7 linked regions of the Ovis aries genome follow. The protein of the gene in region 6 interacts with the protein of the main gene of each other region in a pairwise test. Links are inferred from orthologs where the notes say so. Each region holds a gene or a part of one and is shown on either strand. Other genes may lie near its edges. The genes, in order: LMO2, NATD1, FLNA, PRKAB2, apolipoprotein L6, ADAMTSL4 and LONRF1.

Evidence for each region.
Region 1: the proteins of ADAMTSL4 (region 6) and LMO2 interact in binary tests that used the Homo sapiens proteins (3 or more experiments, as listed by UniProt). The two-hybrid records come from large-scale screens. The link is inferred for Ovis aries from reciprocal best matches to the Homo sapiens genes ADAMTSL4 and LMO2.
Region 2: the proteins of ADAMTSL4 (region 6) and NATD1 interact in binary tests that used the Homo sapiens proteins (3 or more experiments, as listed by UniProt). The two-hybrid records come from large-scale screens. The link is inferred for Ovis aries from reciprocal best matches to the Homo sapiens genes ADAMTSL4 and NATD1.
Region 3: the proteins of ADAMTSL4 (region 6) and FLNA interact in binary tests that used the Homo sapiens proteins (3 or more experiments, as listed by UniProt). The link is inferred for Ovis aries from reciprocal best matches to the Homo sapiens genes ADAMTSL4 and FLNA.
Region 4: the proteins of ADAMTSL4 (region 6) and PRKAB2 interact in binary tests that used the Homo sapiens proteins (3 or more experiments, as listed by UniProt). The link is inferred for Ovis aries from reciprocal best matches to the Homo sapiens genes ADAMTSL4 and PRKAB2.
Region 5: the proteins of ADAMTSL4 (region 6) and apolipoprotein L6 interact in binary tests that used the Homo sapiens proteins (3 or more experiments, as listed by UniProt). The two-hybrid records come from large-scale screens. The link is inferred for Ovis aries from reciprocal best matches to the Homo sapiens genes ADAMTSL4 and APOL6.
Region 7: the proteins of ADAMTSL4 (region 6) and LONRF1 interact in binary tests that used the Homo sapiens proteins (3 or more experiments, as listed by UniProt). The two-hybrid records come from large-scale screens. The link is inferred for Ovis aries from reciprocal best matches to the Homo sapiens genes ADAMTSL4 and LONRF1.

What each region holds. Positions count from the first base shown.
Region 1 is NC_056068.1:63,296,630-63,300,732, forward strand, and holds the start of LMO2 (rhombotin-2), read right to left. Parts: upstream 2,833-4,103; 5' UTR 2,691-2,832; coding exon 2,684-2,690; intron 2,561-2,683; coding exon 2,329-2,560; intron 1-2,328. UniProt on the Homo sapiens protein: Acts with TAL1/SCL to regulate red blood cell development. Also acts with LDB1 to maintain erythroid precursors in an immature state.
Region 2 is NC_056064.1:34,974,232-34,978,205, forward strand, and holds the start of NATD1 (protein NATD1), read right to left. Parts: upstream 2,823-3,974; 5' UTR 2,808-2,822; coding exon 2,600-2,807; intron 1-2,599.
Region 3 is NC_056080.1:80,076,531-80,080,655, reverse strand, and holds the start of FLNA (filamin-A), read right to left. Parts: upstream 2,818-4,125; 5' UTR 2,703-2,817; intron 1-2,702. UniProt on the Homo sapiens protein: Promotes orthogonal branching of actin filaments and links actin filaments to membrane glycoproteins. Anchors various transmembrane proteins to the actin cytoskeleton and serves as a scaffold for a wide range of cytoplasmic signaling proteins.
Region 4 is NC_056054.1:98,147,477-98,151,018, forward strand, and holds part of PRKAB2 (5'-AMP-activated protein kinase subunit beta-2), read right to left. Parts: intron 2,105-3,542; coding exon 1,938-2,104; intron 1,111-1,937; coding exon 1,017-1,110; intron 801-1,016; coding exon 680-800; intron 1-679. UniProt on the Homo sapiens protein: Non-catalytic subunit of AMP-activated protein kinase (AMPK), an energy sensor protein kinase that plays a key role in regulating cellular energy metabolism.
Region 5 is NC_056056.1:179,478,480-179,482,455, reverse strand, and holds the start of apolipoprotein L6, read right to left. Parts: upstream 2,816-3,976; 5' UTR 2,716-2,815; intron 630-2,715; 5' UTR 592-629; coding exon 545-591; intron 1-544. UniProt on the Homo sapiens protein: May affect the movement of lipids in the cytoplasm or allow the binding of lipids to organelles.
Region 6 is NC_056054.1:100,567,511-100,571,676, reverse strand, and holds the start of ADAMTSL4 (ADAMTS-like protein 4), read right to left. Parts: upstream 2,816-4,166; 5' UTR 2,631-2,815; intron 2,487-2,630; exon of another isoform or gene 2,404-2,486; intron 1,914-2,403; exon of another isoform or gene 1,799-1,913; intron 1,225-1,798; exon of another isoform or gene 991-1,224; intron 98-990; 5' UTR 1-97. UniProt on the Homo sapiens protein: Positive regulation of apoptosis. May facilitate FBN1 microfibril biogenesis.
Region 7 is NC_056079.1:23,417,094-23,420,635, reverse strand, and holds part of LONRF1 (LON peptidase N-terminal domain and RING finger protein 1), read right to left. Parts: intron 2,222-3,542; coding exon 2,103-2,221; intron 862-2,102; coding exon 739-861; intron 1-738.

The sequences.
Region 1 (4,103 bases), on a different chromosome or scaffold from region 6:
AACATTCATGGAACCTCAACACCACTGGATGCCCTGACGCAGATCCTGCCAACCAACTGTGAAAGAAGAGAATTTGCACTTAGCTGGTGCAAAACTGCCTGGAATTGAAATGAACTGCTCCTGTTATTCACAGGGAGGCAGGAGGGGCCACCGACGGCACAGTAGAGGAAATCTGTGTGTGTGTGAATTCTGGCTGTCTTTCTGTCTAAATGTTTCATTTGCATAGGCCTAGGCAAGTTTCTGGGTGTAATTTGGAGTTGCTGATCAGACTGACCTCAGTCACACTGACCCAAGTATGTACTCACTGAAGCATCTGGTAGGGTAGTGGTCCACAGGAGGAAATGTTAAGCCAAAAAGCTACTGTCTGTGATGGCCTAATATGAGATAGGAAAGGACTGAATAAGATATTGGCTCTATCTTTCTATAATTAAAGATAATATCACATTATCTTTGGTGGAGGTTCCAAGCCAATAACTGTGGGACTCACCCTCTAATTAATATTTTACATTCTCCTAGAGCCTATCTGAACATTACACCTCAATACACTTTGGCCTGGATTTCTGGGATAATTTCTCAACAGTTTCCAAGAAAGATATGGGGGAAAAATGTTCTGCAATAATTTCTCAGCTAGCTGGTCCATCTCCAATTAAAGCCTATCTTCACTGGGCAAATAGTGAAGCAAAGGATAGAGAAGAGCACCCTACTGAGCATCCTTCCGCAGATGCCTGCTGTGTTATGAGGTGAACATGTTTCAATTTTCCAGTCTCTTTGTGAAAAAGCACAAACTTTGAAAGGAGCAACCTTCCTTCAGGGAACTGAAACCTCCAGATTTATCTTCTAATAAAAAGATTAGTGACTAAGTTCTATTGATCGAAAAGGCATTAGGCACCTTTCAAAGGTAATTCATCCAATGCACTCTCTTATTGTATTACTATCATCTTGCCCAGGCTCTGAAAACTCAGGGCTAAGTTATCATTCTAGGTTTGTAAAAAAAAAAAAAAAAAAAAAGTGAGCAAAGCACCCTTCCCAGAGTTTTCCTAAACAAATACTTAAAAAAAAAAAAAAAAAGCAATGTTATTTTTTTCCCTGAGAATTTAAGGAAGCTGGGTTTTTGTTAGAACAAACCTGACTCCTTGTAGATCTGGCTTCTGAACCTTCAAGATTGAATAGTGATGTTTATATTCTCACTGGATCATGGTTACTTCCTGTGTTTTATGAGAACACGCTGAGCTTTTATGCTGGTAAAACCCAGGTATATAAACACCATAGGAGGCTGAAATTGGGAGGAGGAGGTATTTCAATCAGGAAAGCACAATTCTTTTAAAGCAGGAAAAGAAAACAAAACAAAACAAATGCCTCTTAAAAGCACAAATGGACAAGTCATTAACCAGCTCCTTTGGTCTGTGTAACAAATCCCTTCAAAGGATTTAGATGGGGACTTCAAAGGAATAAAAATTCTCAAAACCAGACAGCTAATGAATCTTAAAAGGGCATTTGCGCTGACGGGAAAATGACATCTTAAACATCCCTCTCTCCCCATGTTAACACTGAGCAATGGGCTCAGAAAACAAATGCGGTTCATTTAGAGCTCTGTTTCCCAGACCCTAAACCCTTTGAGATTGTGACAAAAGCCGTTTAAGACTCCGCTCTCCGGAAAAATTCACCTATATCCAAAATGGTGCACTAACTTTGGAGGTTCAAAGGTACCCATCGGTGGACTCCGAGGGGAGAGGCGTGTCCGCGTATCCAGACTAACTCCCGTGTTGCTCGGCTGCTCTAAAGTCTCTGGAGGCCTGGGTGAGCTCCGAGGTGAACTCTCGCACCTCCTCACCCGTGGGTCCCCGGCGCCGTGGGCAACCGCTCCACCTGCGGACCCGGAAGGGGACCGTCGGGGACCCGGGGTGGGGGGCTCCACTTGTAGTGTCCCCCTTTCCAGGACCAAACGGACAAAGAGAAGGAACGAGAGGGGAAAAGGGAGCAGAATCGAGTCCTGAAGGCTCTCGGGACTGCACCGGCGCGCCTCTGACCTCCCCTTGTGCATGCTCCTGTGCAAACTTTCTGGCCCGAAGTGGCTTTAGGGAGCGTCCCAGGGAGCCGCGAGGGGCCCGCTGAGGCGCCGGGCCGACCGCATTCCTGCCGCCCGCCACCAGCCCCTCTCCCAGTGTCCCCGGGGTCACCCAAGAGGATGCGGGAGCCCCGCGCACGGCAGAGGGAACCAAGGGCACGCCGCGGGCGCGCACCTGGAGCCTTCCCGCCGGCCGCCCGCCCCACCCCGCCGCTCCGGGTCGCGAGGCCGTGGACCCTCGGTGGCAGGGGCGTCACACTTACTCAGATGGGTCCAGGCTCTTCCTCTCGATGGCCGAGGACATTGGGGAGGGAGGTGGCGTGCCAGGCGGCGGGGGCGCTCCCTTTGTGGCGCGGGGCTGGCCGGCTGCCGGGGCTCGGACCCCCTCGGGTGCTCGGGCGCCGCCGCCGCCGCCGCCGCTCCTGCGCCTCTTCTTGCTCCGGCGCTCTGGCGGCGAGCTCGCCCCTCCGCGCTCAAGGACAGTCACCGCGCTCCCTTCAAACGCCAAAGAGAGAGAGCGAATCACCGGGCTGCCGGCGCGCCGCGGCCGAGGAGGGGACCGGGGCGCGCAGCCTGGCCCCGGGCGGCTGCAGCTGCTACTGCTGCTCAGGACTTAACCTTCCATCCCGGTCCCGCCGCCACTGCCGCCGCCGCCGCCGCCGCCGCCGCCGGGTCTGGCTCGGCTCGCGCGCTGTCGCCGGCTCCGCGCCGCCCGCGGGGATGGTGCGCGCCCGCCCGGCCGCCCCGCGCCCCTCGCACCTTCAGCCGGGGTCGCGGCGCGCAGCTCGCCGCCGAGGGCAGGGAGGGGGCGGCGGCCTGGGGGCGGGGAGGGGACCGCGCCTCTCTCCCCCGGCTCCCTCCTCTCTCGGGAAGGTCTATTTTCGCTCAGCTTCCCTCTGTCTCTGGTTTCATTTCCTTTTTCCTGATCACGATTCAAATACAATAGAAGGAAATCACATTTAAAGAGACAGCTGCCCGGTCCCCCCCGCCACCACCATCTTTTTTCTTCCCTTTTTTTTTAAACGGGGCTCCTGGGGATTAGCGATACAAACAGCGGCAGCCGCAGCAAGACTGAGTTGGCTTCTTAAAGGGGCCAGCGTCGGGGACAAGGGAGACTCGCTCAGAGACCACCTCTCCTTGGAGAGGCGGCTGGGTTGCCTGTGAAGCATTCTTTAGGGCTTTCCCTCTTCGGCGTTCCCCTTTTGGTTAACTAAGATTGAAAGTGACCAGCGGGCCGCTCAAGGAAGAAAGAAAAAACGAAAATGTGAAATAAACACATACAGAGATGTACGCGTTCCAAGTGGCTTTCGCGCGCGTCCGGGGTTGGAGGTCCCAGGTCCGCGGCCAGGGAACGCGGAGATGCCCCCAAGACAGCGCGGCTCTGCTGGCTGAGGACTTGTGACTGCGTCCGCGCTCCAAAAAGACGACGGGAGCTGTGCGAGCAGGGACCGCACGGGCTGGGTACGCCTCAGCAGCACCAGGGGCAGCTAATCCCGAGGGAGGGTGTTTGGGAGGGACCAAGCTGGTCTGAGTCTCCTCTCCATCTGCCGGCGGCAGAATTCCCTCCCTCAGCATCTTTAAAAATCGGACCCCTACAGTTAAACTGGCCCCGTAAAGGGCCAATAGCACTCTTCACAGAGAAAAGTGCCTCTCCAATGATGGAGAGCAATGCTTGGAGACTATTTTGCCCTGGGTCAGGAAAAGAGAGAGAACGCAGACTTGTTTGGTTCAGGCTTCCCCATCTAATCTCAAGGGCAAACTCCAAGAAGAGAGGCGAATGTAGAACGGGAGAGGAGGAAGCTAAAAGTCTTCTCTTCAATAGAGCAAAGCTTTAGGTCCCTTGGGCCTCATCAGAGATCCCTGAAAATAATTGCATTCAGAAATTATTACTAAAGGCCTACTTGAGCGTGCCACAAGTCTTGTAAAGAAGAAACTACCAGTATTCTCAGGATCCATGGTTTTATAGGAGCAGTCTAGATCATGGTCATGGACACTGTATTCCCTTTTTAAAGATGGCACTGAAGGGTCTGGATGAAAT
Region 2 (3,974 bases), on a different chromosome or scaffold from region 6:
CACTGAGCCCGTCCGTGGCACTTCTCGGGAGCTGGAGACACGGCCACGAACAAGCCAGGCCAAGGTGCTTGGGGTCCTTCTCGCACATCTCTCAGATGCCAGTCTGAGCCTTCGGCAGGCCCATGGGCAGAACTTTCAATATCTGTCTGGAATCTGACCACTGTTCACATGTCCACTGGCCCCTGCACCCCCCATGGAAGCAGAGTCAGACCCCGCCCATCCTCAGCTCAGCGGCCTCCCCGCGGCCCTCAGGGCCACCTGCCTCAGCCAGCTGCTCCCTCTTCCTGGCACCTCCCCTAGAGTCCCCCAGGGCTGGGTCCTCATTATTTGAGGTTAGCCCACGTGTCACCCCAGCATTTCAGGCCCTGGATCGGGCAGTCAGACAAAAGCCTGAGCACCCATGTCCTCTCACACCCCATGTCAGCACCCCATCCACGCTTCCTTCAGCAAGCACCGAGGAACTGGGCTTTCTCCCCATCTGCTCACACTGCCTGCCCCCAGGCAGCCTGAGGGAGCCCATGACATCTGATCCACCCACTGCTCAGAACCCTCCCAGGCACCCATCTCACCCAGAGTCAAGGCCAAGTTCTCATAATGCCTGCCACAGCCCCGCACCACCTGCCTCCATGCCTCTTGATGCCCTCTGTCCTGTGGCCTGGCTCTGTTTCTCCCAGGACACATCAGGCACCCCAGGGCCTTTGCACTTGCCGCCCCCTCCACAAGGAGCACTCTTGCCACCGTAGCTCCCTTCTTTGCCTCCTTCTTGGGTGGTCCTCCTGGACACCTGACTCTAAACAACAGCCCTTGGGACTTGCCTGGTGGTCCAGTGGTTAAGACTCTATGCTTCCACTGCAGAGGGCAGGGTTTGATCCCTGGTTGGGGAACTGAGATCCCACATGCCATGCAGTGTGGCCAAAAAAACAAACAAAAAGCACCGGCATCTTCCCAACACCCCAACCTTATTTCTCACAGGTCTTGTTCTTCAGGATGGTCTATGCTTTATTGTCCACTGACCCTCAGATGGCTGAGCCCCCAGCACTTACAATAATGTGTGGCACATGGTAAGCTCTCAAGAAGCACTTGTGGCATGAATCCTAGTTCTTCTATCTCCAAGGTGCAAGACTGCAGGCATGTTGGTCAGTCTCCTATCCTAGCCTCAGTCTCCTCCTCTGTAAAATGGGCAGAGCAGCCCCTCCACCAACACCGCCCGCAATGCTGAGGATAAAGTAAGTGACTCCAGTGCGAGGGGCAAGCCGGAAACCCAAGGACTGAATGCACACAGCTGCTCTTTCCTCCCCAGACCTGGAACTTGCTGGGGACTCACCAGCCTAGCTCTGCCAGGGGATGGCTGGCACACACCTGTGCTAAGAGCCACAGGGCTGCTCCACCTCTCAGCCTCAGTGTCCACCTCTCTCACTGGGCACAGTGAGCTGGCTTCCAGGGCCTGGCTGAAACCATGGCAGGCCATTCCCTTCCTCAGCTGAGGCAGGGTTGGGGCCTGGGCACAGAGGAGCCCTCGGCCCACCCCTGTACACACCCAGACCATTTCAAGCCTGGATACACAGCCCAGTCTTGTAGACTGGTGAGAACTTGGCCAAGGATCCTGGTCCACTTTAGAGTCAGCCATCTGAGCAGGAGGCGACAGACAGGACAAGTTTACAAAGGCAGCTGGGCTCATCCAGTCCTGACCCCAGCCAACTCAAGAGGATGTCCCTAATGGCTGTACTCATTAGGGAAAAAAAGAAGGAACACCCCCAAAAGTCCCCTTTTTCTTCTTTCTCTGAGTGTTGAGGGTCTCCTGAACACCCACAAGGAAATCAGAGGCCTCTCAGGAGCCTTGAAAAGCCAGGGGGCCTCTTGGAATGAGAGTAGCAGGGGAGCCCTGAGAGTCACGGCCAGGTGCGCCAGGGTGGGCACTATATCGGAGAAGAGGAAGGAAAACGTGTTTGAGTTCTGGCCTGCGGGGGCCTCAGCTTACTCCTCTGAACACAGGGTGGTGACGGCCACGTCACGAGTAGGTTGTAACAGACGTGTGTTGGGGCCGGGTTCGAAGCCGAGCACAGCCAAATGGGGTCTGAGAAGGTGAAGTCCCAGCTCCGACAGAACCTCCAAGCGCAGGTGGGAGGAGTCCGCCCAGACAAGACCCTATTCGAGTTCTGCCCCTCCCCCCATTGCCTGACCTCAGGAAGCCTCGCCCTTCCCTCCTCAGACAAGGGCACAGTGGCCCATACGGGCCCATCCAGCTTGGGCACTACCACAGAAGGCCCAGCTGGGAGGGAGGAAAAAGTTATTAACAGAGAGGGGTGGGATGCCAGGAATTCAACCCTCCATTTCTCAATCAGGCGGAGGGGGCGTGGACTAGGAAGCGGTGAAGGGCTTGACTTCGCTTCTGGTTTAAGAAGTAATGCCCAATTACTTCCCTGGTGGTCCAGTGAGAGCCCAATGCAAGGCGCCCGGTTGGTCAAGGAACTAGATCCTACAGGCCCCAACTAAAAAATCAAAATTGCCGCGACTAAGAGTTCGCATGCCACAACTAAGACCCTGCCAGCAAAAAAAAAAAAAAAAAAAAAAATCAGTAAAGTCCTCCAGCACTGACTACCTGCCGCAGGCGCTGTTCTGAACCTCACTCTTACTGGGGCATCCAATTCTTCCCACCAGCCAGGAGTTAATCCCACTGTAGAGGCGAGAAACGGGCGCACAGAGATGAGGCAAGTTGGCCAAGCCCCAAAGCCGCCGGGGTCTGAAGGAGACAACGTCCCTCCCCGTACCCGCCCCGCCCCGCCCCTGACGGGCCGAAGCCCCTCCATCCGTCAGCCCCCGGTCGGTCTAGCAGGGTCTTCCAGCCCCCTCCGAGCAAAGAAGCGAAGATTCGCAGAGGCAGCCAGAAGCCACTCAACACCGGGAATGGGGAAATGGCGGGACACCCTCTCCCCGGGACCTCGGCAGGATCCCGGAAAACAGCCGGGCCAAGCAGGTGCGGGTTCCCCCGGGCCGAGGCGGGACCGGAGCCGCCCGGCGCCTGCCTCCGCCGCTCCCGGGCTCGCGCCGCCCTGGGCGCCCGCCCCCACCTGGCCCGCGAGTGCGCCCCCGGCCCTGCGGCGCGCAGACAAAAGGCGGGGGCGGGCGGGCCCGGCGTTACCGTTGAGCCGGACGGTGAACTGGCGACGCCGACGGTCGTGCTCCACGCGGATGGGGCAGCCTTGCTCCGGCGCGCCCGGCGACGCTGCTGCCGGCGACTGCGCCATGGGCGCTCGGACCCGGGCCAGGGGCGCGCGGCGGGCTCGGGGGGCAGCGCGCGGAGCCGCACTGGGGGCGACCGCAGGCGGCGGCGCGGAAATTGACACTCGGCGGCGGCCGCAGCAACAAAAAGGGGGGAGCAGGAAATCAGCTGTGCGGTCACGTGCGGCGCGCGACCAGTGGGCGCGCAGCCGCTCTGTTTTGATACATTCCGTTCGCCTCTTAAAGGCGCAGCGCCGCGCACAGCTCTGTGCTGGGGCCTTTGGGCCTCTGGCCCCGACCTGCAGGAGACTCTGGGGGACCCCCCAAGGACCCCGTCTCAAACACACGTTTCGACCTATAGGGCAGTTCTAACCGTCCCCTCGCAGCCACCATTTACTCAGTGGTTGCTGTGTGCCTGCGCGCAGCAAAGCCCCGGAAGCTGCAGAAAGCGCTCATGAAGCCGAGAAGTAGGTGCGCTTGACACAGGCGCCTGGGGAAGACCTGCGAGGGTCACACACCGCTGGAACGATTGTCCCGAGAAGCCTGGCTTGCGATCTGGTGAAAGGCCACCTCTAACCCCAGAAACAAATGTGGGAAGCTCCTTGGAGATCCCTGGACCCACTCACTGGGTGGTGGGGGTGGGGGGATTGAGTCCCAAGAGGGCCAGGGACTTGCTTGAGGACACACAGGACTCTGGGTGGGTGAGTGGGGAACAGACTACATTTTTGAAAGAGGACTGGACAACACCTCCCCCC
Region 3 (4,125 bases), on a different chromosome or scaffold from region 6:
GCGCTGTAGGAGACGCTGCAGCGATGAAAGGCTGAGCAACGTCTAGAGCGGGGGACCGCTTGGCCTGCAGCGGGCACACCATACAAGGGACTTTCCTTCCCCAAGGCCCCTGCGGGGGGTGGCTCGCCCTCCGTGAGTCACGTGGACTCCGCTCGGTCCCCGCCGCCCCCTCCCCCCCAACCTCCGGCGCTCGGGGGTCCCTGGCCGCGCCACAGCCAGCCGCCTCGCCGGCAGCCGAGAGAAAGGGCCCGATCCGAAGGGGCGAGCCCTTGGAGAGCGCGGGTCTGGAGAAGGCTCTGCTGCCCGCGCCGGGCGTGCGTGCGCCACGCCAGGGAAGGCCGTAGCCGCACGACCCTAAGCCGCCCCCCAGACCCCCAGAACCCCAGAACCCCAGAACCCCTGCCCCAGCAAGCCTTCCCGCTCTGCAGGATCCTGGCCTGCGCCCGCCGGTCCCAACCGCCTCCCTCCCTCCCCCCTGCACCCCAGAGGAAATGGGGCACTGGGCCAGGAGGCCACCGGCGCTCCAGGAGCCAGCAGCCTTGGAAGGGGCCTGGGCATGCCAATGGGCACTGGCACGGGGTGCCCTGTGATGCGATGCATGCAGAGATGGCGGGTAAGCCTGCCTCACCCACCGGCAGTCTACCAGAGGCGCGAGGGGCTTCCCCTCCGTGGCTGGGATGGCCCCTGAGCCCAGCGTGACCCAGGAGGCTGCCAGAGGGACCTGCCCCGGGCTTCCGATAATGCACTCTGAGCACCTGGGTCTCAGTGGGCTTCGGGGTCGTGGGAGAACAGAGGAGGCCTCCCGGACAGGGGGGCCAGGGGACTGAGGGGGGGCAAACCATGAAAGGCAGCTGGGGCCTGCCGTGGAGCCAGGACTGGGTACTGGGGACCTATTCGCTCAAAATACATTTTCTTGTAGATAACTGGAGACTATGGGGGGGATACTAAGACCAACAAAGGCACAGAAGCAAGAGGCCTGTCAGGGACAGTCACTGCCACCTTCTTCAGTCTGGAGAAGCCAGCCTACTGGTGGCTTCGTCCCCAGAGTGGACTCACTTCCCTCGGTCCTGTGTCCTTCCCCTCTGCAGGATGTTCCCTTCTTCACATCTTTTTTTTTTTTTCCCCCAGAAAGGCATGTCTCTGTCCCTCCTGCTTCGTACTTAGATCGAGCTTCCTACTAGCAGTACCTCAGTTCTCTGCTAAAGACCAGTGGGAAAGAAGCCCCTAGGTCAGCATGCCCAAATAAGGCCAACTCTCACAGCCCTGGGGACTGTGTCACCCACAGTGGGGCTGCAGTCAGCACCTGGCCTCCAGCATGCTCTCTTTGGGGCTGCCTGGTACCCCACACTGGTTTTTGCTCACCAGTGACATTTTTCAGTCTAAAGGCCTGACCACTTTAGACACACCTGCGCAAAATTCCACACCATGGTGTCTGGGGACTGGGATGGAGGTGGGAGTGACAGCAGTAGAGGGGGACCCGTGCAGACTCCTCCCTAGCAGGCCCCACCCAAGCAGAGATGAGAGCCATCCTTCTGATCCCCTGCCCCCCTGAAGAGCCAGTCCCCCAAGGAGAGAATCATACTGAGAGTTCATTGTCACTTGACAAGTGCCATCCAGTTGCATTATCTGTGTTCTTTTCTTAATCTGCAGAGAGCAGGGAAACTGAGTCAGCGTCAGTAACCAGCAGCCAACTCCAGCAGAAAGGGGGACAGAAGCCCTGGCTGCCAGCCTTAGGCTTCTTCCCTATTTGGGGGGTGATAAGAGATGGGGCTCTAACGAGTTCTTGTCCCCAGGGGACATAGTATCACCACCAGGTGGCGCCCCATCCCAAAGCCCCCAGATAGGGCAGTCCCTGGAAGCTGAAATACAGCTCTTTCATATTTTCCCTTATTTGGAGTCGATTTCTTGGATGTTGTTAGACACACCCCGCCTCCCACCCCAACTCCTTCCCTCAGACCCCAAGCCAGGCCCTCCCACGGCTGGTGAAAGAGAGGCACAGGGTGGCAGGAGAGGCTGCCCAAGCCCAGGTGTGGCAGGCAGGCTGACAACGCTCCAGGGCTGAATTCCCACCTTGACTGCGCTGCTAGGAGCCCGTGCAGGTGGGTCTCCCAGCGGCCGTCACCTACTCCTCCTGGCCCAGGAATTGGGGTGGGTGGGGGTGGGGGGCTGGCCTTCACATCCTGCCTGGCAGTGAACATCCAGCTCAGAGCCAACCTGGGACAGGGCCCAGCCTCGAATCTAGCATGGCCAACCCCATGTGCCCTCGCCCCAGTGGAGCGCAGCAGCCCAGAAGCCAGCCCCACACCTCTACCCAACGCAGCCAATGCCCAGAGCACTGATGTCAGGGAGGAACCGACCGTCGACATCCCTCCTGGGGGCATATTGGCTGCAAAGTGTCTTTCCAGGTGGCCTCTCGCCCTGACCCCACACAACGTCCTGCTTCAGAGCCCTGCCTTCCTGGACAGTCATGCAATGACCTGCCCCCCAGTTCACCCTCCCAGGGCACCCCCATGGCTGTTGGGCTCTCACACTGCGGGGCCAGACCCAGATTCCCCAGGAAACCAGGGAAGGCGGCTGCACCACCACACCCCGGCTTGCAGCTGGCCCCGGGCACCCCACCACCAACTCCGTGAGCTGCCCGCCGACCACTCTGCTCGGTGCCCGCCAACCGCTCCGCCCGGTGCCCGCCGCGGACGCCTCACCTTCTCTCCCTGCGGGCGGCCGGCGGCCGCGGGGTGGCGCCTGGCAGATCTTCGAGCCCGCGCCTGGCGCCTCGGGGCTCTGCTGGCGTCTGCTGCGCGCCGGGCGCCTCCACGCGAATGGGCCGCTGCCGCCCGCCTTCTTGTTGGCCGCACCCCCGCCCCGCACCCGGCCCGACTCGGCCCGACGAGAAAGCCTTAATTGGTAAAAATCACCCAGGAGCGGGGCGGGGGGGGGGTTTCGAGGGGGGGCCCCGCGGGGGCGCGCCGTGAGCTCAGGCGCCTGGGCAGCCGGCGACGCCCCCCTACCCCCGTTGAGATGAGCTCACCCTCTGCTGACGGGGAGGGGCGGCCCGGAGGGTCTGCAGAGCCTGCGTCTCGGCCCAGCAACGAAGGCCACCTCCTCCAGGGAGCTGCCCAGTCTTGCGCCGCCCCCCTACCTTTACCCCAAGCCTGGGGCTGGTCGGACTAGTTGGATTCTACCTTGGAGGGGGAAGTGCAACAGGCTCTAGCAGGTATGCACTGAGAGCCTCCCACCTGAAAGTCTGCACGGGGGCAGGGACCTGAGCCCCAAGACAAGCCAAACAACATCCCGGGCTGGCATGGGTTTGGCCCCTGCCCAGTGCCAGGCCTGGCCTGGAAGCAAGCAACAGAAGTGGACTGAATTCTCAGCAGCACAGTTAGCTGCAGTCCTGAGGCCTGGGCATGGACAGTGGGGTGCAGCCGAGGAGCCAAGCGTCTGGGGAACTAGGTGGGCACAGCCACACCCTGGCACTGCCAGGCTCCCTCTTCGTCTTCTGTGTGCCCATTTCCTGGTATTAACAGCGTCGTATTCAGCTCAAATGTCACTTCCTCGGGGAAAGCCACACAAAGCAGTGTCTTCTCACTGTGCCCACAACCCCCACAAAGAACTGCATCTTACATCCTGAGCCAATATTTGCAGGCACACACGCAGATCGACACAAATGGCTGAAATAAACGTTCCACGAAGTGAGACTGTCCCTTACCACCTGAAAAGCACTCTGATCTTTCTTCTTTTATTCTACTTCATTAAAGGAGAAAAAGCAAAGAAGGGAGCTGCTGCTGCTGCTAAGTCGCTTCAGTCGTGTCTGATTCTGTGTGACCCCATAGACAGCAGCCCACCAGGCTCCGCCGTCCCTGGGATTCTCCAGGCAAGAACACTGGAGTGGGTTGCCATTTCCTTCTCCAAAAAGAAGGGAGGGAGGGAGGCAAAAGGGGAGAAGCAGGAAGGAACAGGGGGGAAGAAAGGAGAAGTCTGCTGTCACCTGCTAACGTAGTTTGATATCTACAGCTGCACACTAACAGGAAGGCACTGATTGCCCTCCAGGCCTCTCCGCAGCCACTGCTGCCTTTGTTGGCAATGACCTCTCCACCTTGACCCCAGGTGAGATCGCCTAGCAGTGGC
Region 4 (3,542 bases), about 2.4 Mb from region 6:
TGGAAAAAATACTGGGAGAAACAAAAGCATAGAGATCTATTCCTCTATTGAGGATTTTTTTTTTTTAACCCAAAACTTTAAAAATTTCAGTTAACATATACACAAAAGAAATTTGAGGTTTTTATAACTCTTTTTTCCCCAAAGACTGCCATATGGGTAGGGCCTATTAAATATACAACTGCCAACTAAGCTATCAATCTGGCGGGATTAAGTTGAGGCAGCTAAACATGGCACAGGAGACATAAGTAGCTCCTGCTAGTTGATACTGTCAAAGGTCAATGAAAAAACTGAAATATTATTAGAAATAGCTTTTTAAACTATAGATCACAGCACATTAGTCGTTTATAAAAAGAAGAATAAAGTAGAAAATAAAGTGCTTCACATGTAATAAAGGCAAACATCATAGTGCAAGACATGTTACTGGTTTGTGTGATGTGTGTGTTGGGTTACAATGTAAATTTAATGTAGATCAAATATATTTACTTTCACTTACTGTGAAATCAAACACATTACACAGATTTCATTCTCTGAGAATATGACCTAAATGTTTACAGGAGAAACATACATACAATTTGGAAGATTCCTAAGTCGAAAATGAAAAAAACAAAAACCACTCTTGGGAAGAAACATGCATTTTAAGAAAGGAAAGATCAAGAAAGAGCAAATACTACAAAATTACCTCGACAAGATGTCTCTGAGCTTTCCATTGAATCTAGCTTTAAAGCATCAAACACCTCAAAATCAGATTTCTTGACATGAATCAAATTGTTAATTGTGCCAAGCTGACTGGTAACCACAGGCTGAAACAGTGAATGGAAAAAAAAAAAAATTCATGAATCCCCATTTCAAATACATCTCATCCATTCAACTCTCCTCTTTTTAGAAGAGATTATACTTGACACCACCATCTTTTATCAACAGGGAAATCCAACAGCAATGATATCTGACACCCAGCGGAATAACAGCTAAAAGGAGACTGTTAAGCCAGTGGTTACCCTCGGAGGTCAAGGTCTTACCTCTGATGGATCGTGAACCCACTGTCCATCCACAAAAAACTTGTACTGGTGCTCTCCCTCAGGGAGGTCCAGGATGGCAACAAAGTCATTATGGCTACAGAAGAAAACAGAAAGTTAAACAGGCTAAATTCTTATTAGAAGACAGAAGATAAATGTAAAACCATGAGGCAATCACAGTATCATACCAGTGATCTCCCACATTCCTAAGTGATTGCACCCCCTGGAGTGAAAAATAATTTATAAACCCATTCTCCTTTTCTATATCCCCTTGAGCATGTATTTGCTATCCCTCCTAACAACTTTAATTTTTAACTAATATCTGAAAAAGAACAATAAAGATATTAATCCCCCAGAATGTTTCACTTTAGTACAACTATTTTGCTTCAGCAGAACAGATCCCTCAGGAGTGTAAAAAAGATAGCAAGTAGGTTCAGGATATGAAGTGCCTCAAGGTACTCTTTCCACATTTTGGTGAGCATTTTCTAGAAAATTACCTATATACAAAGGGCCATAGTCAGTTACATAACTCATTGTTGCTCTGCAAGCAACAAATAACATTACTACCTAGAACTTTACAACGTGTTTTGTTTTAGTGCAGAAGTCAGGGCAACTGGACTCAGGCAGTTACGGGAGACTTCCCACAAGCATAGAAAGGACTTCTATTAACACAATCCTAAAGAACATACCTCCAAAACTGTTGGAAGTCCCTCTGAGGCAATGACATTCTAAGTGGTAAAACATCTCTGACTCACTATAAGGTTAAAAAAAATGTCACAGATATAGTTACTGGTCACAAAAAATGTTCTAGAGAAAGTCCCTAGCAGGTGGAGAGGAGTAGTCCAGCCAAGTCTCTCTCCTGAGAAAGGGAATTGGGTCTCTACTCCTGGACCCAGCAGACTCAACCAAGACACTTGTCTTCACCTCTTAATCAGTGGAATCTTGGTGCTCCAATTGTTGAAGGACCCAGAGATGAAGACCTCCTTGCCTCCTTCAGACCAGCGGATAACAGTGGGCCGGGCCTGCTGTGTGGGCTTTACGGAGTCCTCCAAATCCTGCTGCCATGATACAAACTCTTTGTCCCCAGGGAGCTGTAAGAAGGATTAGGTCATCCCTAAATTGTGTCCCTGGAATTCTGAAAAGGTCACTCTCCTCCTTAGGGCAGAGAGGGGTGCTACATTTCTGATAAGGATTAATAAGTCTTGAAATGAGCAACTACTTCAAATTTTGAACAAAACTATAGAAAAGAAACTCATCTAGGACCCAAATGGTCAAATGGCTTATGCCCAAAGTCTGCCCAAATCACAGCTTAATTTCTGAGTCTGCATGAATCACTCATCCTTTCAGAGTCTTGGGATGTCCCTTAAAATACAAACAAACAAAAAATCTTACTTCCTGTCACCAGATTAACTCATAGGCAGACAATCATGATATGCTTATCTCTTAAGAGAAAAATATCAAAATAAAGCACAGTTCTACAAAAAATAATTAAGTTAGTCATCTATTTTTTTTCTTTTGCTGTGCCATGCAGCATGCAGGATCTTAGTTCCCCAACCAAGGATTCAAACCCTCACCCCTGCAGCGGAAGCACAGAGTTTTAATCACTGGACCACCAAGGAAGTCCTGAGCCATGTATTTTTCATATGTAAATATAAGCATCTCAATTATCAGTTGTAATAGAAATTAGAGATACTAAAATTCTTAAATAATTCATAATTTCCTCTTTAGTTAATAGGTTATAAAAAGACATTAAATACATAAAAATCAGATCACTGGTTTCCTAAATTTTGAGAAATAGTTATGAAATCTTACTTATTCATCCATGTCAGGCTTATACTAGTAATTTTCAGGAGTAGGGATGAAAATTGTGGAGCTACAAGAAGCATCGGATCAAAAACACAGTTTCCTTTAAAAAAGTGGTTCCCATATCAAATGAGGTATGTAGGGTTGCAGAAGAAAACTGACTCCTTAGTCAAGTTTATTTTCATTACCATCCTTTAGAACAGAAACTGGCAAACTATGGCCAGTGAGCCAGATGCTTTTATAAGTTTCATTGGAAAATAGCCACACTCATTCACTTTCTCATTTTCTATAGCTGCTTTCATGCTGCAATGGCAGAACTGAATATCAGTGACAGAGACTGTATGGTCTACCACAAAGTCTAAAATATTTACTATCTGGCCCTTTACAGAAAAAGCTTGTTGACCCACACTTTAGAGTGGCTTAAATGACTTTGGTAAATAAGTCTTTATGGTATCAAGCCAAAATATTATTAATACCAAATAAAATAATGTGGGATAAAAAAAAAAGACTATTCACTTGCGCTTTACTTTCAAAATGGCTGAGGCAGTCAACCTTCCATACTGTCTCTGAATATTCCTCAAAACTACAGTATAAGACGTTAGTGGCAACAAAATCCTTAGTAAACAATGAGAACTGAAGGAACTTTCACATTATATAAGGAAGTGACTTAAGAGAAAAACTTGATCTCCATTTTCTCAAAGCAATGAACTCATTTGACAGTCTGGA
Region 5 (3,976 bases), on a different chromosome or scaffold from region 6:
GACTGAATGACTGAGTATGCACGCATCCTATGTTAGGCAGCAATGCCTCCTGACACAGAACTACAATCTAATTCTGTTACACATGTGTAGCTCACCTAATTCCCTCAGGAGACATTGGCTGATGGCCTATGTGGGGCTGACGATGCTATGTCTGCTGATGAATGCATGCTGGAGCTTAAATTCATGAATGAGGCAATGTTAAAGGGCTTTTTTGGTGATACATCAACCTCACAGAAGTGACGTCCAAGGGGGCAGTTTCTGCCCTCGGAGTCCTGTTGCCCAGGGTCAGGTACCTAACAAGAACTTGACTTGTGCTCCAAAATAGTGTAAACCATGGAATATTTTTCTCCCAGGGACATATCTTCACATACATAATGACCAGTGAGAAGGCAGGTCTCATTCATGGCTGTTCTCCTGGAACACATTTGTCACATGTCGTGAGAATGCCTAAGCATTTCTGCAGAAGTCGCCCTTTCCCCAGGGACACAGGGCTCTGGATTACCTTTGCAAACTGACACCAGTCTTGCAGGCTTTCCCTGCCTACCTGTCCAGCAGGTTCTGTGGCACCAAATCCATGCTCATTTTGTCCATGGGAGAATGAGAGCTGTCACCACGACTCAAAGGATTTTCTGGGTGAAGACACAGAAAACAAGTTCCATGAAATCGTATGAAATTCAAGTGTGGGGACTTCCTTGGCAGTCCAGTGATTAAGTTTCCGTCCACACTTCCAATGCAGGGGACACAGGTTCAATCCTGATCGGGGAACTAAGATCCCACCTGCTGTGAGTTATGGACAAAAAGATTTTTAAAACTTCAAAAAAGAAACTCAAGTGTGGAGGGATTTTAGATGATGCGAAATCCAAATAATAATAAGACATAAAGGACTAAATATTTGAAAACTGTTGTTTTTACATTATATGTTGAGGTGAGCTTCTATAGGATAAGTACACAAAACAAAGTCCTCAGCTTCATACATTTTGACGTCACACATCCAAGTCATCACCACCCAGATCGAGATAAAGGACAGACGGTTTCCTTAACCCAAACCCAGCCAACATGCACCCCACCACACGGGTGATCACTACACTGATTTCTATAACCTTTCATTTGTTTGCCTGGTCTTGATTTTCACGTCAATGGCATCAGTTCTTTGGTTTCTTTCTCCCAACACAATGTCTGTGAAATTCTTTCATGTTGTCATGGTTTTAAAAACATTCAGTAGCTTCAAAAAATGAGAGGGCTTCCCTGATGGCTCAGTGGTAAAGAACCTGCCTGCCAATACGGTAAACACTAGTTCAGTCCCTGATCGGGGAAGATCCCTCCTGCTAGGGAGCAGCTAAGGCCGTGTGCCACAACTACTGAGCCTGTGCTCCAGAGCCTGGGAACTGCAACTTCTGAAGCCCACACACCCTAGAGTCTGTGCTCCGCAACAAGAGAAGTCACTGCAGTGAGAAGGCCCCATTAGCCGCAGCTAGAGCTCTCGAAGCAATGAAGACCCAGCACAGCCCCAAATAAATAATGCTAGAAATACGCTACAAAGCAAATGTCAAGCACTTGGGAAGTGGAGGAGCCCCGTGTGATTCCAGTTAGGTCTCGAGCAGTGGATCTCCATCAGGGATGAGCTTTCTCCCCGGGGGATAGTGGTGACGCCCATAGACATTCAGTGGTGGGCGTCAGGGGACACTGCTCCTGGCACCTAGTGGGTAGAGGTCGGAGATGCTGCTAAACACCCTACAGTGCACAGGACGGCCCCACAGCAAAGAACGGTCCAGTCCAAGCTGTCAGCGGTGCTGAGGCTGAGAAACCCTGGAGGAGCCCCAGCCTTTCCCAGCAGCTCCTGAAAGCTCCCCCATTTCCCCTATTATTCCTACTAAATGAAGAGCTAAAGTGACAGCAGGGAGCCCTTTGGTCCCACCAGGTCCCATCCTCTCACTACTGACCTTCTCTCGGGAGATGTCAGAGGATGTTATGTTGGGAGAGGGATGGAAATGATGGGCGAGGATTAGAGAAGTCATTTTCATATGAGAGCTGATATGTATGAGACTTTCTTTGTTGTTTGGGGAGCCTTCAGCTCTGCCGTATTCTGTCCCTTCCCCTCAAACCAATTCCCTCATATACACCATTGATGTCAGAGAAGTTGGATACTCTGGAACACAGCTTTGAGATAATCCCCTTAATCTTTATCACCAACTCCTGCCCCTCAAACTCCCTAAATAAGCATACAACACAAGAAACATTGCAGGTGGCAATTTTGAGACAATTCATCTGGCATCTTTTCCTATAAAGATGATACTCCTAAACCACTCTTGTAAAGAACAGCTAGGGAAATGCCTTGGCCCGTGATGTCGCTTGTGTTCTGGGGTCCAGGTCTCTCTCTGTCTACGATCCAGGGGTCCCCAGCCAATGGAGGGGAAGATGCAGTTTGGTTGGTCTAATCACATGCTTAATCATGTTTTTATTTAAACTTCAAATGACCTCTGAGGGAGAGATTTCTATCCCAATTTATCAAGTAAAGAAACTGAATTTCAGACCGGAGCTGACACTAGGAGCTGGCCGGATGGGGATTTGAACAGCATGGGGGTTCCTGACAGTAACTCTTTCTCCCAAACCAACTGCAGGGGCAACCTCTTGGGCCCATTGTCCTTTAGAAGTGAGGCCGCAGAGCAGCCCTCCTCCTGGGTCTCCTGGCCCACCTGCTCTCAATGAAGCACTCACCGTGGCCTCAGGTCCCAAGGGCCTGCCTTCGTCTCCCCTCCAGGGGTCTCAGATCCAGCGGAGGGCTGTGAGCGTCTAGGCTGCAGGAGGGCAAACACACAGAGCAGTCTCCAGCTGGTCTTGCTCATCATGGGAAAGACCCGAGGCTCTGATTGCAAAACTGGATGCAAGTTCAGTGAGGCAAGCACAGAAGTGTCAATGCCAAAGCAGCTCTGGGGGGGGGTGGGGGGGGGGGGGCGGGCGTGCGGTGGGGGAGACCTCCCCGGAGCTTATTGAGCAATGGTTGCACTTTTACTTTCCTTTCTGCTTCTTTCTCTAGGAGATGTGCAATGAAGGAGCTATCTGAATCTGTCAGGTCCAGTCTCACCTCTCCTGGTCCCAGCTGTTCCAAGAGCAGAGTGAGGGTGCTTACGCCCTGCAAGGACTCTGAAGTCAAGCAGACCATCTGGAGCTGTGTCACTGTGAGCTGCTTTCTCAACTGCCCTTGGCCTTGATTCCCCGTCTGTGAAATGGGTATTTAGTAAAACAGCCCTTGTGGCAGAGAGCCACTGTGAGGAGCCCCGGAGCAAATGAGGCAACGCCCAGCATGGAACCAACACCTAACAAATGCGTCCACGGCCCTGCCATGAGAGCGCTCACCTGCCCTCCGAGGAGGGGGTTGACCCCAAAGTCGAAGGCCTCTTTTCTGTGACTGTGAAACGCAAAAGGCTCTGGAAAACAGAAACGTTTTTTCATGGTTCATTTGGTGGTAAAATGACCCAAGCTGGAACAAGTGTATAGTTTTGATGCATCCACCTTCTCTTGAATATTGTTTCCCTGCAGAAATAAACCTAATGTTTGAACAAGGAGGGTGTTTGGGGCTGATCTCAGGGCTATCTATATATATAACTGTATTTATTCGTTTATTTGGTTTCAGCTGTGCTGGCCTTCACTGCTCTGTGGGCTTTTCCCTCGTCTGGCGAGCGGGGCTCCTCTCTAGCTGGGGTGCATGAGTGGCTCGTCGCAGCGGCTCCTCTTGTTGAGGAGCACGGGCTCCAGGCACATGGGCTTCCGCAGTTGCGGCTCCCAGGCTCTAGAGCACCGGCTCTGCAGTTGTGGTTCATGGGCTTAACTGCCACACAGCGTGCAGGCTTTTCCCGACCAGGGACCAAACCCTGGTTCCCTGCATGATTCTTTACCATTGAGCCACCAGGGAAGCCCCGGTCTCAGTGTACAATAATCCATGTTGTGTTTGGACCGCCCCTGGGGTTCTCATGCTTAC
Region 6 (4,166 bases):
AGTCTCCGGAAAGCTGGGGATTGGGAGGGATGACTTCTCAGAAGGACAACTCAGAGTGAGAATGGAGGGGTGAAGATTGGTCCATCCCTTAATGATCCTAAAGGTGAGAGGGAAAAGGAGCACTGCCTTTGTCCATCTACCCAAGCTGAAGGGGTGGAGGTCTGCCCTCAGCCTCCCAGCTCAGGCGCAGTCCCCTCCTTCAGCTTCAGGAACTTCTCAGCTCCTGTGTCCTAAACAGCGACTGTCTCTAGGCCAGCTCAGACACATGCATCTTTCTTAAGAGGGTTGAGGAGGGAGGTTCAGTGAGGACTTTTCAGACATCCTCTCTGAGCTGCTGACTGGAAGCCCCCTGGGCTTTCCATTCCCACCTGCTTCTCAGCCTTTTCTTGCCTTCTTACCTAATAAGCTCCTTCTGGAACACTTGACACAACTGTGCCTATCTCAAACTTTGCAGCCAAGGGATAAACTAAATGGGCTGATGGTTTATCTCTAGAGAAGCAGGTGATTTTCCCCAGTGATATTTAACTTCCCTCTAGGGGCCAGCCTCTGGCATTGGATCAATGAGGCCTTCCTTCAGGCAAGACTCTGATGGCTGGGGGAAGCTGGGGAGGGGAGATACAGCTAGAGAGGCTATTGGTCCCCAGTCACTCATGGGTCTATCTTCTGAAGAGCCAGGAAGTCCATCCTGCAGTCTCAGCTTGATCACTGGAGAAGTGGAGCTTGGAACCCTCCCCTGGTCTAAGCCTGGCTCTCCCATGGCTCCCCCTGGCCCTCCAGTCCCTTCACAATGAACCCTTCCCACCCCCACTCTTCATGCTGCTCTGAGCTCTGCTTTCCAGGAAAAAAAAAAAAATGTTTCTGTTGGATCTGAAAGGCACCCGGGAGAGGAATCCAAGGAGCTAATGCTGAGGTGGGCCAGCTCAGGGGCAGGAAAATGACAGAGGGAAGGGCAGGAATGTGCTTGGAGGTAGCAAATCCATTCCCCCTCACCTCCCTGAGACCCCAGCGCTTGGGATGTTGAGAAGGATCACAGTGGCGGGGCCTGTGCCCGAACGGTCTCCTCAGCTACTTGGGGTTGTGAAGGGGGTTGCTGATGGCTGCTCCTTCCCTTGGCTGGGCTGACCACTGAGGTCAGCAACTCCGCCCTGATGAGGAGGCGGGTAGGGGCTCCAGAGAAGGGCCAACATTCCACCCAAACCTTCAGCTTTCAGCCTGACTCCCTTCCTGGTGGTTGAAGAGAAGGAGATGGGAGGCTGGTCACTGCCACTTCTTGCTGCTGGGTCCCCTCTCCACTTCCTCTGCCTCTGCTTCTCTCTGCTACCCCAGGCCTGTGTCTAGCTGTCTCTCTCTATGGGTCTACCCAGTACACATAATCCTGTCCTGAGCTGGGTTTGGCTTTGGCAGCTCCCTGGAGAAGTGAGGGGTGGGGGGTGGGGTGACGTGAGCTCCTGGGGCCAGGGCCAGGCCTGGCTCCCTCTCTGGAAAAGTCCTACCCCACCCCCCGCATAGCTGGGCAGGGGGCCGACACATGCACACACAGGCACACACAAACGCTGCAGAAACAGATACACATTTGTGGTTTTCAGTCTTTTCATGTTTTCCGTTTCTCATCTGGTGAGCCTCACTGTCCAGAGTGAAGAAAGGAGAGGTCAGACAGAACTGGCCATTCTTGGGCCCGGCTGACACTGGTCTAGACAAACCTGGGCTCCTCCCTGCCACAACTCCACACTGGCCAGTGGAGATCAAGGAGGAGTGACCTGGGCAGAACTAACCGCTTCACTAACCCCAAGAGACCTACCTCTGGGGAACAGTGGCACTGAGGGGCAGGGGGTGGGTCCAGGGCTCCAGGGCTGGCTGCAGAGTCCTTGTCTTGGGCGAGAACTCCTTGGTCCTCCTTGTGCCACTCCTGGGTCCTGGAGGCCCACCCAACAGGTGTCCTGCCTTTCTAGTCGTCAGGCTGAGCTGGATTCGGGGCACCCACTTGTAACCCTCCCAGCGTCTGTGCCCCCCAACCCAGGACGGAAGCGGATGACAGGGTTGGGGGGATGGGGGAGGAACGCATCATCCAGAAATACCGTTCCAGAGGGGAAGGGCAGGAGGTGCCCGGCGCGTGCCGGGAGCTCCTGGGTGTGTTTTCCAGTTTTATTCTGTGTAGGAATTTTGGCTGATTCTTCGTCCGAGTGATGGGGCCAGCGTTCCAAGAGATCAGAGCCCCCTCCCCAGGAATTGGACCCCAGGGACTGGAAGATCTTCCGAGGCTATAAGAACTGGGGCCGGGGTCGTGGCTGGGGCGCGACCGCGGGGCTCGGAGAACCCGGACGGCGCGGCGGCGTGGGGCGGATGGTCTAACCAGACGGGGGAGAGAGGGCGACCGGGGCCAGGGGTCCCAGGGAAGATCTGTACCTGCTCTGCGCGGCCCCGGCGGCCAGCTAACCCCTCTGCGCCCGGGCGCTCCCTCCAGGCAGCCTCGCTCCGCGGCAGCCACTGCGGCCCCTGGGCCGGGCTACGGCCGCCTCCGGCCGCGGCTCCGCCCCCGCCCCGCCCCGCCCCGCCCCGCCAGCCCGCCCGCCACGCGCCCGGCGGCAGCCCCCCGGCGGCCCCCGAATCCCCAGCCCGCCAGGGCCACCCACCCTGGGCTGCGGGCCTTGGCCGCTCCCGCCCGGCACCTGCCGACCGCTCCAGGGGGCGAGGCCGAGGAGGTCCCAGCCGGGTTCCGAGGGAGCCATCGCGCCAGGGCTGTCCCTCGACCCGGCTGGGGCTCGGGTCTCCGGGACCGCGGTCTCCCGACCGGCTCTGAGTGGGCGGTGCGAGCGCTGCGCCAGCCCGGGCGGAGCGGCCGCGAGGGGCGCCAAGGGGTTGGTGGCGCCGGTACCCGAGCGGCGTGGGCGAGCCCCGCGCCCCACATTGGGGCGTTGCTGGGCTGGGAGATGGTCAAGCCTGACCTCGATTCCACGTTGGTCAGGGCCCTCTCCATCACGCAGCCTCCCGTGCAAGCCCAGTTATCCCTGCTTCTCCTAAATTGGACTGTGAACCATGTGGTTCTGACTGCTCAGGGACCCTCTAAGCCTCGGTTTCTTCATCCATAAATGTTACCTACGGGGCGTAGCGCAAGGAATGCGCTGATTTAGGAATCAGAGGATCTGGATTTGAATCTCCCTCTGTGATCTTGGATGAATGCTTCAACCTTTCTGTGCTGCAGTTTCCTCATCTGTAAAATGGGGTTAACCTGACATACACGAATAGGCTTGGAGATATGTCTGCCTAGTTACTTAGATCAGGAAGAATACATCCCAAACTCGGAACTGGGGGCAGCAGCTGGGGAGGGGTTGGGAGAGGAAAATAAAAATATAAGCTTTCACTTTTTTACTCTGTATGCTTATATGTTTTTGAATGTTTAACCACAGGCATTATCTGTTTTTTATGGTAAAGAAATAAATAATACACGTAAAATGACAGAGTAGATAAAGTCATTATTTTTCTTGTCACCACTATTTTAAAAGTTTTATTTGCCATTTTTTCATGAACTACAGTCATGTACTGTTGGGTCTACTCTCAAGCATTTGAAAGGTTTTATTTATTTATTTTTTTCCAGTGACTTGTCAATATTTTAAAACCAGGATATTCAGTAGCAGGGTATCAGGTGTTCCCACCTAATACTTATTGAGCACTTTCTGCACTTGGTGTGGAGGGCACAGTTAGAACAGCCTCTGGCCTTAAGGAGTTGGGTCTAGTTGGAGACAGACTTGGGAGGTAAGTACTGGACTCAACAGAAGCAAATGTTGTCTCAAGAGATGAGGGAAGTGAAAACATAAAATGCTTTTAAGTATAAGTATTATATCCTTATTTGAAGTTCAATATCTATATTTTATTATAATTTATAAGTTATATAATTTATATTATAAAATTATAATTTTATTATGATTTATTATTATTTCAATAAACCCCTAAGTTTTCTCAAGACAAGGACCATTTAGGCCACTTTGTGTCATCTCTGTTTTTTCATCTTTTGTATTTCTGTTTTGGTTTTTGTATTTGTAGAGTTAATAGAAATATTTGGAATGAAACAGAACAAACAGATGAGTCCCAGGTGCCCAGGCCTGCTTTCTGACTTTTTTTTTTTTGCTTTCTGACTTTAAACTCAGGCTCACTGGGTGGTGGGTAAACTG
Region 7 (3,542 bases), on a different chromosome or scaffold from region 6:
GCAATTAACGCTGTGGCCTCTTTGGGGGACACTGAAGGAAACAACATGACTGGGCACTGAAATTTTATTAGGATAGATTTTCCCAGAACATTTTTCAGAGACTCTAGTCTTCCCAGATGTTCTGTGAGTAAATCTGGCAAAAGCTGAATGCTGTTGTCATGCTAGCAAAGCAAAAACTCTTGAGAGGGGCTGAAGAAATCTGTTTGATTGGTTTAACCCAGTGTTTCCCAGAGTCATTTGATCAGAGAACCCCTTTTCCTTTTAATTAACACCTACCACTGAACAAACTCTGGAAAGTGATGTATGGAGTACTGAGAAAATTAAGGCAAAATAAATTGAGTGGGGCAGTACTATTGGCAACCACGGAAAGCAAGCAAAGTTGAGACCTGAAATGAAAGGCAAAGGAAGCCAATAAAAATTCCTGAGCAGGAACATCATGACAACAATGTTTAATTAGGAATGACTGGTCTGGCTCCCATGGAACAGACTATTAGAGAACATCTAAATTTAACTAGGCGAAAGTAATGCATTTAACTCTCTCTGAAATGTTCTGATTTGGGTAAGAACTCAATATGCTAATAAGCATACTGAACCTGAAAACCCCTCATCAAACTGCTACTAAATCTGACTTATGGACACCCCTTATGTCCTTACCCCAAAAGTCTAGCGGGCGTTTGCAAAAAGACCTGTGTTGTCGGGAAACTGGCTGGAAGTGTTAAGAGTTGTTAAACGGATTACCTTTTCTACTTCTAGCTTTGCAGGTGCGAAATCTTCATCGAGCGCTAAGCACTGAAGAAACAGTTGTAAGGCATCACCTAAAAAACCAGCATCGTGGAGGACTTTTCCTTTCCTGAAGTACACCTTCAATAAAAGCACACATACCCAACTTTTATGGATGGAATTGTTTTTTGAAACATCAATATCACGTAAGGTTAAAAATAAAAGTTCTGCTTGGAAATGTTCATTTTGAAACTCTGAATGACTCTCAGGAGCCCAAAGCATTTTACAGGCACATTTACATCCTACCCGGGATAGGCACCTATGATTATGAGGTCCAGAAAATGACTCCAAAGCCACATTTCTAATTATATCCCACCAATGGTAAGTCCAGAGGATTCTTTCCTGTTTAATGGTTTTAAGAGCTTCCCTGGTGGCTCAGTTGGCAAAAGAGTTCTGCAACGCAGGAGACCTGGGTTCGATCCTCGGGTTGGGAAGATCCCCTGTAGAAGTGCATGGCAACCCACTCCAGTATTCTTGCCTGGAGAATCGCACGGACAGAGGAGCCTGGTGGGCTACAGCCCATGGGGTCTCGCAAGAGTCAGACATGACTTAGCGACTAAACCACTGCTGCCACCAAAGCTGTCTGTACAAATCATTTTCCCTCGTATTCTTAACACTGATTTGACTTGTACCAACTGATCATGTCATCATGAGATTCTGAATCATTTTCTTTATTAATTTATAAATTTTAGAGCATCCTTACTATACAGTCCTCAAAGGCATAGCTTTGAATGCAGAAAAAAAAGTCACATTAAAAGATGATTTTTAACTTAAATAACATACATGGGAGATGGATTGATTTGCCTTGACAGTATTGGTAAAATGGAGAATTCGTAAACCGATTATATAATACATACATGCTGCAAATCTTTTTTCAAAAGACCATGGGCAAGGCCCCCATCTACCGTACTGAACGACTGCCTCATCACCCAGTTCCCGTCACAATGCCTCAGTCAGCTGTTCAGCCACAGAAGCTCTTCTCTCTCCTTTAATAAACCTCCTCCACTGATAACTTCTTTGGGTCCATCTCCACAATAGTACATCTTTGAGGAAATGCTGTATATTAAATTCTTTTTTTTTTTTGTCCTGTGCCACGAAGTCAAGTTGTTCTCTAGTTAAGAAACAAATGTTTCTTATAGTCTAAAAAACTGTCAGATGATATTCATCCACTCAAAATATTGACCTCAGACTTCTAGAACTATTCCATATATTTAAAAGAAATCGCCCAATCCATTTCGTTGTGACTTACAATCATAATTGAAATGCATATTCCCTACAGTTGAACTTCTTAAATGCATGCAAATGTAAAACAGTAATTTTACCTCAGGCCAATTTGGCAGCTGAAAGAGAACTGCATTTAAATCTTCTATGGCTGCTTTAAACTCCTGGAGGCCAGCATACGATTCAGCTCTGTAGATTTTCAGAGTCAAGTCGCTGGGCTCTGAAATCAATGTTATGAAGGCTTGATTATTTTTAAAAGATTACTGTATAATCCACAGAAACATACTAAAGTAAGAACTGACTCAGCGATTCTAGTCAATAACCACTGACGCAAAGGCAGTGAGCCAAGCACAGTACAGGTGCAACCCACTGGCATACTGACATTTCTCTAACTTACAGCAAATCCTTATGGTTAGATTATTTTAGTGGAGGAAACTGATTTTTTTTTAAAAAACTGAAAATATTTTGATAATATGATCACCCCTAAGAAACTGAATGTTTTCCTAACATAGGCAAAGATTTAGAAGATGTATCTCAGATGTTTAGAAGATTTGTCTTTTTGTGGTAAACCTTTTTTTATATCTGATTTTGAAATCTTTATAAATGACTACATGTGTTAACTACTGCACACAGAATTCCCATAGTTACAAAGACTGACCGAGGCACGATCTTATGAGAGGACACGGTGGTCCTGTTTCTGGAGGAAATGGGTTGACAAGAGTCAGGTTTCTTAAGAGGGAAAATTTTTTAAATTCCTGCCATTAATAAGAACAGGATTGGATGGCCCCAGAATGACTTACTTTCAAATATTTGAGGGTAAAAAGCTTTAGGTGATAATTTCACTATGCTCTCTGTCTCTACTTGAGAAACCGAACTCGTATCCAAAGGCACTAAAACTTCAGACGCTTAGCTGGTTCACTGATGGTACTACAATCAATTCCTACAGGTCACGTGGGATCTAGGAAGATGCTACAGATGAGCCTATTTCCTACAGACTCAGATGCAGAGGATGGACACATGGGCGCCAGAGGAGAGACAGGGAGGGTGGGACAAACTGAGAGGTCAGGATGGACATAGATACACTGCCATGCGTGAAACTGCGTGTGGGAACCTGCGGAGCGGCGCAGGGAACTCAGCTCAGTGCCCTTTAATGACCTGAGGGCTGGAGGCAGACCCAAGAAGGAAAGGATTTTGTATACTTATAGCTGCTTCACTTCAGTGTATAGCAGAAACACAACACTGTAAAGCAATTATATTCCAATAAAAAAAGGTAAAAAAAAAAATTACTACAGGTACATGGATTCTGAAACTGAAGTGTAAGCCAGAAATCAATTTTCAATTATCTACAGATGACATTAACTTGACTCTTCTTTTTAAAGCTATTATTCATCTTTAAAGGCTTCCAAAATGTATGCTTATAAAATACAGCATTCGTTGTGGGAAGGGCATAAAGACCTTACCACCCACCGTCCTGGGCAAACAAAACAAAAACTATAATAAAACTCCTTAATAGCTTCCTTTACTCTAGTTTTTAAATGATT